Linked DNA regions of Mus musculus. Each later gene encodes a partner of the first gene's protein in a complex. Links are inferred from orthologs where the notes say so. Each region holds a gene or a part of one and is shown in the gene's direction. Other genes may lie near its edges.

Evidence for each region.
Region 2: the proteins of Eif2b4 (region 1) and Eif2b5 are in contact, whole or in part, in a cryo-EM structure (PDB 7D46), measured with the Homo sapiens proteins. The link is inferred for Mus musculus from reciprocal best matches to the Homo sapiens genes EIF2B4 and EIF2B5. Residues at the interface, in NP_001029288.1 of Homo sapiens: Arg357, Tyr393, Pro396, Glu397, Lys466, Arg467, Glu469; in NP_003898.2 of Homo sapiens: Arg163, Lys294, Arg339, His340, Glu357.
Region 3: the proteins of Eif2b4 (region 1) and Eif2s1 are in contact, whole or in part, in a cryo-EM structure (PDB 6O81), measured with the Homo sapiens proteins. The link is inferred for Mus musculus from reciprocal best matches to the Homo sapiens genes EIF2B4 and EIF2S1. Residues at the interface, in NP_001029288.1 of Homo sapiens: Asn245, Glu246, Glu247, Arg250, Thr285, Ser520, Ser521, Asp522; in NP_004085.1 of Homo sapiens: Met30, Tyr33, Met45, Arg55, Arg57, Arg75, Glu79, Lys80, Tyr82.

Annotation. Positions count from the first base shown.
Region 1 is NC_000071.6:31,186,955-31,190,183, reverse strand, and holds the end of Eif2b4 (translation initiation factor eIF-2B subunit delta), read left to right. Parts: intron 1-175; coding exon 176-303; intron 304-437; coding exon 438-615; intron 616-2,089; coding exon 2,090-2,270; intron 2,271-2,383; coding exon 2,384-2,583; 3' UTR 2,584-2,626; downstream 2,627-3,229. UniProt on the Homo sapiens protein: Acts as a component of the translation initiation factor 2B (eIF2B) complex, which catalyzes the exchange of GDP for GTP on eukaryotic initiation factor 2 (eIF2) gamma subunit.
Region 2 is NC_000082.6:20,501,790-20,505,436, forward strand, and holds part of Eif2b5 (translation initiation factor eIF-2B subunit epsilon), read left to right. Parts: coding exon 1-18; intron 19-114; coding exon 115-195; intron 196-453; coding exon 454-531; intron 532-740; coding exon 741-1,053; intron 1,054-2,855; coding exon 2,856-3,001; intron 3,002-3,409; coding exon 3,410-3,551; exon of another isoform or gene 3,552-3,567; intron 3,568-3,647. UniProt on the Homo sapiens protein: Acts as a component of the translation initiation factor 2B (eIF2B) complex, which catalyzes the exchange of GDP for GTP on eukaryotic initiation factor 2 (eIF2) gamma subunit.
Region 3 is NC_000078.6:78,860,591-78,864,941, forward strand, and holds the start of Eif2s1 (eukaryotic translation initiation factor 2 subunit 1), read left to right. Parts: upstream 1-1,481; 5' UTR 1,482-1,590; intron 1,591-4,351. Other genes in the region: Atp6v1d (V-type proton ATPase subunit D), read right to left, coding at 829-869. UniProt on the Homo sapiens protein: Member of the eIF2 complex that functions in the early steps of protein synthesis by forming a ternary complex with GTP and initiator tRNA. This complex binds to a 40S ribosomal subunit, followed by mRNA binding to form a 43S pre-initiation complex (43S PIC).

The DNA of each region.
Region 1 (3,229 bases):
ACAAGACAGTCTATTTCATCCTGGCTGACCTAGAGCTCAGTAGATTGGCCAAGCTGGCCTCAGATCCAGAGATTCCACCTGCTTCCTAAGTGCTGGAAGGTGTGTGCCACCATGCTTGGCACGTACGGTATGCCAACCAGAGGGTGAACTGCATCCATGTTCTCTCAACATTTAGGCCAAGTCAGAACTTAGAGAAGCCCTCGACCGGTACGTGCAAGAGAAGATCGTGCTTGCAGCTCAGGCAATTTCACGATTTGCTTCTACAAAGATCAGTGATGGGGACGTGATCCTGGTATATGGATGGTATGGTCAGCACCTGAGTGAGAAAACTGGGGAGGGGACTGTCAGAAGAAAAGGCTGCCCTTGCCTTTGCAGACAGGCTGGCTACCAGCCAGTCACTTGAATAACATCTCTTCTCCTTCTCCATCCATATCTAGCTCATCTTTGGTGTCGAGAATTCTCCAGGAGGCCAGGGTCGAGGGCAGGCGGTTTCGGGTGGTGGTGGTGGACAGCCGGCCCCGGCTGGAAGGAAGGCACATGCTCCACTCTCTTGTCCGTGCTGGGGTCCCTACCTCCTATCTGCTGATTCCTGCAGCCTCCTATGTGCTTCCAGAGGTGAGGGTTCTCACAGCAAAGGAACTCCAGAGATAAAAGAGAAGGATAGAGTAACCCCAGCATAATAGTCTTACCTTGTGTTCTTTTCTTTTTTCTTTCACACTTATTTATTGTGACAGGAAATAAGGAATAGTGGGGTGGGGGTGGGGGGTGTTGAAGTCAGAAGACGATTCGGAAGAGTCAGTTTTTTCCTTTCTTTTTCTGTTTCTGTTTCTTTTTTTTTTCTCTCTTTTTTTCGTTTTTTTTTTTTTGTTTTTTGTTTTTTTTTAAAGATTTATTTATTATTGTATGTAAGTACACTGTAGCTGTCTTCAGACACATCAGAAGAGGGAGTCAGATCTTGTTACGGATGGTTGTGAGCCACCATGTGGTTGCTGGGATTTGAACTCTGGACCTTCGGAAGAGCAGTCGGGTGCTCTAACCCACTGAGCCATCTCACCAGCCCCTTGGTTTATTTTTTTTTGTTAGTTTTGTTTTGTTGAGACAAGGTTTCTCTGTGCACTAGTTCTGTAGTCCTGGCTGTCCTAGCGCTTGATTTGTAGACCAGGCCGACCTTGAACTCACAAGAGATCACCTGCCACCATACTCAACTGAATCAGTTCTTTCTTTCCACCATTTATGTCCTGAGGATAGAATTTAGAATGCCAGGCTCCACAATGACTTTACCCAGTGAGCCATCTCAGTGGCCCTTACCTCTTATTTATGCATTTGATTGTTTATGTTTTAGAGAGATAGGGTTCTCTGTATAGCCGTTTTTTGTGGGGAGAGGAGAGGAGTCAAAGGTCTCGTTATGTAGTCCTGGCTGGCCTGGAATCCACAGGGATCTGCTTGTCTTTTCTTCCCAAATACTGGGATCAAATGTGTGTGCCACCACACCCTACACTTTGATCCTTAATAGGAAAAAGCACCTAGCTTCTGGGTGGAGCATTTGGGTGCCAAGGCAGGTGGATCTGAAGGCCAGCCTGGTCTACAGAGTAAGTTCCAGGACAGTCAGGGCTACCCAGAGAAAGCCTGTCTCAAAAAGCCAACAGAAATGGCTGGTGAGATGGCTCAACCAGTTAAGAGTTTAACTACTGGCTATTCTTCCAGAGGTCTTGAGTTCAATTCCCAAGCAACCACATGGTGGCTCATGACCGTCTATAAGGCAATCTGATGCCCTCTTCTGGCATTTAGGTGTACGTGCAGCAGAGCACTAAATACATACATACATACATACATACATATTTAAAAAAGAGAAAAAGCAACTGCTACATGCAGTAATACAATGTAGCTAATACAAGAACATTATATTAAAATAGCAGCCATTAATAGAATAAGCAGCTTTGCTGTGATGATAAAAGATATTTTCTAAGAGCAGCAGCAAATGAGGTTTGTTGCTTACTGCTGCTGTTCTGGGCAGAAGTGGGGAACTTTATTATATACTGAATAACATGACTTTTTTTTTCTCCATGTCCACACTGTCTAAAACAAACAGGTTTCTAAGGTGCTATTGGGAGCTCATGCACTCCTGGCCAATGGATCTGTGATGTCTCGGGTAGGGACAGCACAGTTGGCCCTGGTGGCTCGAGCTCATAACGTTCCAGTACTGGTCTGCTGTGAAACGTACAAGTTCTGTGAACGTGTGCAGACTGATGCCTTTGTCTCCAACGAGCTAGGTAAGCAGAGCAGAACGGAGGCTTCCAGGTACCAAAGAGAACTTGAGACAGGGAGGAGAGATTAGCCATGTCCTCTTTGCTAAAAGGATGTTGACACCCACTTGTCATTTCAGATGATCCCGATGATCTGCAGTGTAAGCGGGGAGACCAGGTGGCCCTGGCTAACTGGCAGAGCCACCCGTCCCTCCGGTTGTTGAATCTGGTCTATGACGTGACTCCACCTGAGCTCGTGGATCTGGTGATCACAGAGTTGGGCATGATCCCTTGCAGTTCTGTGCCTGTTGTTCTTCGAGTCAAGAGCAGTGACCAGTGAAGGGAACAAGGGTCAATAAAAAGCTTACTCCCTACTCCCATGACTCTGCTGCCTTTGTATCTTTGAGCATCTCTACCTCTTAGGTCAGAAGCCCACACTCTGCTACCTTCATCACCTACTTGAACTTGTCTATGGAAACCCTTCCAAGGTGTTTAGCTCCAGGCCAGTGCTTTGGAGCAAGATGGTTTGGGTAGGTATCAAACCTATTCATAGACCAGGCAGAGTGGCACTCCCAGAATTCTCCTTTAATCCCAGCAAGGGTAGCCAGTCTCTGTAAATTTAAAGGCCAGCCTGGTCTACATTTGAGTTCCAAGACAGCTAGGGTTACAGAGTGAGACCTTGTTTCAAAAACAACTTCTGGAGTCGGAGAGGTGGGTCAGCGGTTAAGAGCAGGGGCTGTTTTTCCAGAGGACCTGGGTTAGATACGCAGCACCCATGTGGTGGCTCACACCCATCTGTAACTCTAGTCTCAGGCCCTCTTCTGATCTCAGGCACCAGGCATGCTTGTGATATACATACACAAAAACAAAGTACACTTACACATAATAGCTGGACATCCTGACACTGCCTTTAATCCCAGCACTTTGGAGGCAAAGGCAAGATCTCCCAATTTTGAGGCCAGCCTGGTCTATACGAAAATTCCAGG
Region 2 (3,647 bases), on another chromosome or scaffold:
CGCTTTTCCTTTCCATTGGTAACTGGGTGTCTGGGGAAGGAACTCGGGTAGGAGAAGGCGGAGCTGCGAGGAGAGAGGTGAGCTCAAGCCTCTGCCTGCCACTTCTCCCTTCAGAGCCTGTTCCAGGGCAGTGGAGACGGAGTGGAGATTCGATATGATTTGTTGGACTGTCACATCAGCATCTGCTCTCCTCAGGTGAACTCTCCAGAACAGGGCTGTGTAGCCAGAGTAGAGCTCTCGGGGGTCTGTAATTGCTCCCTTTCAAGGCCAGGGTATGCATCTTTTCCCTCTTTTTCTGACTTGTTGTATAGTAGAGAGGTACCATTACCTGACTCCCAGTATGCTGGGAACCAAATCTAGGGTTTTGTCCCACAGCCATTTCTGGGTTTCATAGCTCTCTGGGCTTGTTACTTGTAAAGTACTTAACCTTAGCGTGCTCTGTTTTCCTCACAGGTAGCTCAGCTCTTCACAGACAATTTTGACTACCAAACTCGAGATGATTTTGTACGAGGCATATTAATGAATGAGGAGGTGAGAAGAGCTTCCGAAACCTCTAGTAGAAAGGGTTTATCTTACTCTGGTAGCCTTTGGTTCCCTTTTGTGTTTCATTAAGCCTGAGAACGAAAGCTCTGGTCGTTTGACTATGTCAGTGAGAGGCGCTGAAAAGGCTTAGAAAGGTGACATGCTTGGGGTTCGTCTTCCTGCCTCGCTTGATTGGGTAACCACCCCTTCTCATTTAGGTCCTAGGAAACCAGATTCACTTGCATGTGACAACTAGGGAATATGGTGCCCGGGTCTCCAACCTACACATGTACTCAGCTGTTTGTGCTGACGTCATCCGCCGATGGGTCTACCCTCTCACTCCAGAAGTAAACTTCACTGACAGCACCACCCAGAGCTACACTCATTCCCGACACAACATCTACCGAGGGCCTGAAGTCAGCCTGGGCCATGGCAGCGTCCTGGAGGAAAATGTGCTTTTGGGAGCTGGCACTGTCATCGGCAGCAACTGCTCCATCACCAACAGTGTCATCGGCCCTAACTGCCATATTGGTGAGCACAGGTGGGGAACCCAGCAGCGGTCCTATAGATACGGGGCTGCAGTGTGTCTCCAGAAGCTAGGGAGGATGCCGAGGGACAATCCTATGAACAGGAAACTAGAGTGGCTATCATAAGGAAGGAGCAGAGGCATGGAGAGGTGGTTCAGTGTGCATTGCTCTTGCAGAGGACTCAGATTCTGTTCCCAGGATTCATAGCTCATAACTCAAGTGCAGGAGGAGCCAGTGACCTCTTCTGACCTCCTCAGGCACCAAACATGTGCTTTGTGTGCATACATAATTTGGGCAAAACACTCACACACATAACGTTAAATTGACTAAATCTTGGGCCAAAGGAACAAGAAAAAGAAAGAGTCCTCGTGCTTGCTGGTGCACACAGACCGAGTGCTGGGATTAAAGGCCTAAGCCACCACACACACCCACTGTTGCCCACACTTACAGTCCCAGCACCAGGAGATGGAGGTAGGAGGATTACAAGTTTGAGACCATCCTAGAACTGTATATCGAAATTTGTCTTAAACAAAATGGCAGGAGGGCAGGACAAAGGAAGTCAGTTGGCTACAGTTGTATATGATCCCATCCACTCTGGAGCATAGATTGCCTCAGGGCTGTATGGCCAGCTTGGTTTTTTTGAGACAGGGTTTCTCTACATAGTCCTGGCTATCTTGAAACTCTGTAGACCAGGCTGGCCTTGAACTAACAGAGCCGCCTGAGTGCTGGGATTAAAAGTGAGCACCACCACAGCTCTACCTAGTCTGTGTGTGACTCTTACATTCTGAAATGTCCTGTGTTCACATTTGGAGGCAAGTGGAGTTAGTGTGTACTAATGACCTTTGTCCAGTCGTAACAGCTTACAGAAGGCTTCTGCATGTGCTAGTTCTCCTGTCCCAGTAACATCTAATGTAAGGCAATGTTGGGACCTAAATGCTAGTTGTGGGCTCTTTTTTTTGTTTTGTTTTGTTTTGTTTTTAGAGATTTATTTATGTATGTGAGTACACTGTTGCTCTCTTCAGATACACCAGAAGAGGGCATCAGATCCCATTATAGATGGTTGTGAGTCACCATGTGGTTGCTGGGAATTGAACTCAGGACCTCTGGAAGAGCAGTCAGTGCTCTTAACTGCTGAGCCGTCTCTCCAGCCCTCTTTTTTTTTTTTTCTTAGTGTATTTATTATTGTTTTATGTGCATTGGTGTTCTGCCTGCATGTCTTTGTGGGGCTGTTAGATCCCCTGGAACTGAACCTACAGACTGCTGTGAGCTGCCATGTGGGTACTGGGAATTGAACCCCCGTCCTTTGGAAGGGCAGCCAGTGTTCTTAACCGCTGAGCCATCTTTCCAGCTCTCTCCATGTTTTTTTTTTTTTGCTCTCCTATAATCTTTGTATTCCTCTTGACATCTCACTTTGGTTGAAGAATATGAGACTAATAATAGTAGTAGACCTTAAAAGGACAACAGTAGGATTCATATTCCGTAATACACAGAGAGGTGGAGTCATTGGGTTCTCCTTGTAGGTGTGAACATGATTGTAATAAGGTTTATGGTTCATTCTGAGAAATCCTGAGGGTTCTCAGATTGAGCCATACATATAGTGTAAAATTATTGTAAATTTAGTAGAGGATGGTCACTTTGCTCTTGGGGCTAACCTTGGAAGGGACTGAATGTTTCTAATGTCAGCAGGTAGAATATCAGCTAGATGGGAGCTGGGCTGGGGCTGGTGTCAATCAGCCTGTCCTCTGTGAAGGACTCTTTCGGATGTGGGACCCTGAGTGACCGGAAGTCCTCCTCATTCTGAGCCAGGTGATAATGTGGTACTGGACCAGGCCTACCTGTGGCAGGGAGTTCGAGTGGCTGCTGGAGCACAAATACACCAATCTCTGCTCTGTGACAGAGCTGAGGTCAAGGAGCGAGTCAAACTGAAGCCATACTGTGTTCTCACTTCCCAGGTAAGGCTTATTCAGACTCTGCACAACCCCAAAATTGAATAGTGATTGTGCCAAGTCAAAGGGGACCATATTTCCCCCTGTAAACAAGACTGCAGTAAGAGCCCCAGTTTCTCTAACCTTCAGCTTAGCTTAGTATAAAACCAGAGCAAAACAAAAAACATTGTTCTGATTGTCAAGACACAGTTCTCAGCCGGGCGGTGGTGGCGCACGCCTTTAATCCCAGCACTTGGGAGGCAGAGACAGGCGGATTTCTGAGTTCGAGGCCAGTCTGGTCTACAGAGTGAGTTCCAGGACAGCCAGGGCTACACAGAGAAACCCTGTCTCGAAAAACCAAAAAAAAACAAAAAACCACAGTTCTCCTCAGTGCACGATGAAGTCTGGGCTACTTGATTCTTTTTTTCCTCTAAGGTGGTAGTGGGCCCAGACATCACGCTGCCGGAGGGCTCGGTGATCTCTTTGCATCCTCCAGATGCAGAGGAAGATGAAGATGATGGCCAGTTTAGTGATGATTCTGGAGCTGACCAAGAAAAGGAGAAAGTGAAGCTGAAAGGTGTGAGGCTCAACAGGTGTGGGGCATCTGTGCGTCTGTCTGTCTGTCCCATAGACAAGCATGTTCCCTTCTAGAGAGAGATGCTGCTGCTGGGCC
Region 3 (4,351 bases), on another chromosome or scaffold:
TCTTTCCACAAGTTATTATATGTATTTGAGAAAACTTCAAGTTTTCACTTCATCACTTCTCCTAACAAGGATGTTAACCCAAAGCAGAAAGGCGGCCTGTAACTGAGCACATCCCAAGCAAGGGTTCAAGGAACAATTTTCTGTGGACCTTCTATGCATTAAAAAGATGCCTCCTTCATCCAGGAGACAGCCCAAATAAATACCCGCGTGACAGTGTCATGAGTGACACTTGCTAGACGTAAAGAGTGCAGTCATCACAGGGCTATAGGAATACCTCAGAAATGCAGGGATATCTTCCCACAGCAAATAACACTTGACGGGATCCAAGACTGAAACCTACAGCTGCGAGAGGGTGACACATTCAATGTCACTTTGGCTGAGGGGCCTTCTAGCTGCTTCCCTGTCACATAACTTCCCGTCTGGGAGCTTTGGTCAGACCTCAGCGTCTACATCTCAATCCTCAGCAATGATGAGCCCTGGGAGGTAGAGATGGCGCCGACGGCTCAGTTATGTAAACTCCGTGTGTGGCTCAAAGGGTGTGCGGAATGAGTGAGTAAAGGCATCGACCTCCAAAAGCTGCCAGCAGGTGAACCCCCTTTTCCTGTGGACTGGAACCACTTTCTCCGGCCTCTTCTCTCAGAAACAGCAGGGGAGGGGAGCGTTGGAAAGAAACCTCGCTCGGAACTCAGAGGAAACGAAGACCCTGGGGAAAGCTCAAGGAGCGACCCAGAAACCAAGGAACCTTGCTGGTGGCCAAGGGTACGCAGGAATGCGCGCCGGGAAGATGTGCCTGAACACGGTTGTCGCTTGTCCTAGTCTTTAACTTACATTCGCGAAGGGAAGATTTCAATCCGGTCTTTGCCCGACATCCTGACGGTGACTCGGCTCGGGCCCCCCGGCGAGACAATCGGGACCGCAACACCTCCAGAACCGGTTACCCCAGTGCCCGCCTCCACGGGAGTCAGCTGACCGGGTCACTTGACAACTGCGTTGCTAAGAGGCAACCAGGAAACCGGTTCCCACTTCCGGTTCCTGTTGGGCGAGGACTGAGGGAGGGGGAGGAGACGGAATGCCCGGATGTGGAAGCGCGCACAGTCCGGAATTCCGGGTCTCTCCACCGCCCCTCCCTCCGGCGAGTCGCCGGCACCCAGCACGCTCTGAGGGATGGGTCAGGAGAGGATCACGCTCCTCCTCTTCCTCGGCTTTCCGCCATTCGTCACAGCGCCCTCTCTTGGTTGACTAAAACTTAAAGCGATCATCCTGGAGCAAGAAACAGAAACTTACCTCTCCTTTAAACCTAGCAAGTTCCCTCCGCAAAAAAATCTATAAATACCAGGGGCAGTGACTCTTCAGCTCGTCCCTTGGTTCACACCGCCCATATTAGGAGGACCAAGACTCTATGGTTAGTGGCAACGAAGGATCCTTTTCTGTCGGCGCCTGCGCAGTGAGAGGTGGCTCCGCATGCGCGCTGGGTTGGGCGAAGCGCACGCTGAGGAGCTTCGGCGTCCGGGGTTGGTGTTCCGAGTCTCCTCGTTGCCACTAAGCAGCACGGCGTGGGACCCTACTTCGGGATTCACACATCCACTTCAGGTGACCGGCCCCGCAGCTTGCTCTCCCCGAGGATTCGCCTTGGTTTTGTCCAGTGCGGCTAGGCCCCGGGCTACCCCCCCTTTCCCGTTCTTGCGCGGGAAGTGTCTGGACCCCGTCGCCACCGCCCGCTGGTGATTTCCTGCGCCCTCTCGCCAGCCGGTGTCTGCTCCTGCGAGCCAGAAACGTGGCTGGACGGGCGGAGGAACCCCTGAAGGAACGTGGGCCAAGTAGATTTTTACAGCCTCCTTAAAGATGTCTTGTGGTGGGGAGGCCTCTGGAGAACCCTCGACTCCAGTCCCACTCCTAGTTCAAGACGATTGCTTTTACCGGACCGGAGAATTTGGGCTTTTTTTTTTTTTCTTTCTTTTATCCTTCTTTTCAGCCCCAAGATACTGCCAAAACTTTTCTCTCTGTGGAGACTGAACTTTTCGCCAAAGAAACAATAGGATAAACCACCATATTTAAGTTAAAAAAAAGTCCAAAATGGAACTATTAGTGTTGAGGTCGTTAAGTTTTCGCTCTAGCTGTGCATTTCTGTATGAGTGAATTCCTGGAATTTAAAATCAGCTGTTGAAGTTATTTGCCCTGTTTGGGTAACTGCGAAAATAAAACTGGAGTTTTGTAATTATGGACGCTGAAAGCGTAAAACTTTAGAGTTAAGTGTGTACTCGCATTGGGGCTCTTAAACACCCCCTTATATTTAGGATGCTTTAATTTCCACTAAGGAACAAACATTGTTTCTTGAAGAAAGGGTACATCAGAAAAGTCTTGATTTTTCTCCTCCTCAAGTTGTTGTTAAAGAGGTGGAGACCCTCGACAGTTCATCAAAAATGTCAGTTATGAAATTGTAGTGCTTTTTCTGTGCCTATGATGCCAGATGGTGGGCCCTGATTCTCAAAAGACTTAGTTGTACTAGTAAACTTTAGAGCTGAACAGCGTTTTCCCAGCGTGGTACATTTTATTTTGGAATGTTCATTGCCCATATCTGCTATGGTGACATGACAATGTACCGACTCTAGAAGTTAACAGGGGCAAAATACTAATAATGCAAGGTATTTGAAACTAGCTTTGAAGTGTGTTTTTGTTTGTTTACATCAGAACACATACAGTCTGTATGGCATTAACTACAGAAGTGGGATCCCTTGTGAGAGGTGTGAGGTACACATATCTTTAATCCCAGCACTGAAAATGCTTGAGGCCAGCCAGAGCTGCACAGTGAAACCCTGTCTCTAAAGGGGGGGTGGGAGAGCCCTTAACATTGTCATACTGTGTGTGATACAGGGAAACTTTGTGGATATCAGATTTTGTGTTAAAGACTTGAGTTTAGTTCTTGTTTTTAGTGTATATTATGTATCTGTCTTTGAAGTCACTTATATTTCTGTTCCTTGGTTTCCTGTTAATACTTTTTTGGGCCTTTTCAGAACACCTTGTAATCCTAATTTGTTTTCCCACTAGTACTTAATTCCCTAGGGAGGGATTTTTGTGTCAGAATTGCTTAATACTAAGTAATGACTACCCCCAAAATTGTTTTAACAGATTAAATTGCAAAATGAAAAAAGTCAGAATGCTTTGAAAATTATCAAAAAGGACTGAATAAATTCTTGATTTCTGTTTTATTGACAGAAAAAAAAAAACATGGGCTCTTTTTTAAATAATTGTTTTTATGAATTGATTTAGTCAATCAGCCAACAAGTAAGTTCTTTGTGACACGAATCCCTTTGTAGTTTCAGAATACTTTCTTTCTACTGTAAGTAATATACCATTTCATTATTTACTCCATATTCTGCAAACAGATTTGTGCCTTTTAAAGTAGTGGCCATGTTTCCATTCTGTGTTCTCTTACCCTGTTGCCTGTAACCTTTAACCAGCTGATGAAGACAAAAAGCATCACCTTTTTGGATGCTACTATTTGGAGAAATTTGCTTAATAAATATGACTAGCAGCTTTTAAATCTCCTAGCATTGTTAGACATTTTTCTACAGTGTTTATTTTGATGCTTACTTTGGAAGTCTTTGTTTAATTCCCGAGTTTTCTCTATACAGATATTTGAAAGCATTTGCATTCCCTCCCTTAAGAGAAGCTCTGTTTAAAAAATGGAACTGCTGTTTCCAAATGAGTATTCTAGCTGAGTAGATACTTTCTTTTATTTACTAAATCCCTGTTTTGTTGAGCAGAGGAGAAATGAATCCGCCACATGTTACTTTTAGATAAACAGTACTTTCACTTCTGTCCTGGTAGTTTGGCCGAGTATGTGATACATACGTCCAACACTTGAGTGTCTATCAGGGTTACTTTTTGATCGTGTTAGATGTTGCTAAGATATTTGTTAATATAGTCTAATTTTAAGAGCACAAATAGTTCAAAATTTAATAGGCTCAAATTTTGACTTCCACCACATATCAGTATATAAAGGGGCAAGTTGCTCAGCCTGCACCTCCATTTCCTTATCTTCAAATAGGGAGAACTAGAGAGAACGTGGTATGTCAAAGAGCTAGGCAATGGCCAGATCATGTAATAGTCATACTGATAGAAACAGATGCGCAAGTGCCACATACATCTTCCCAGTTGGTAGTGGGACTATGTGCATGTCTGGTTGTTGGGGGTGGGGGTGTTTGTTTATTTATTTTTCGGGGCAGGGTTTCTCTGTATAGCCCTGGCTGTCCTGGAACTCACTTTGTCAGCCAAGCTGGTCTCAAAACTCATAGATCTGCCTAGAAAGTAAGTTACTAAAATGTCACATTTATTTTCTTAGGCCTTTGGG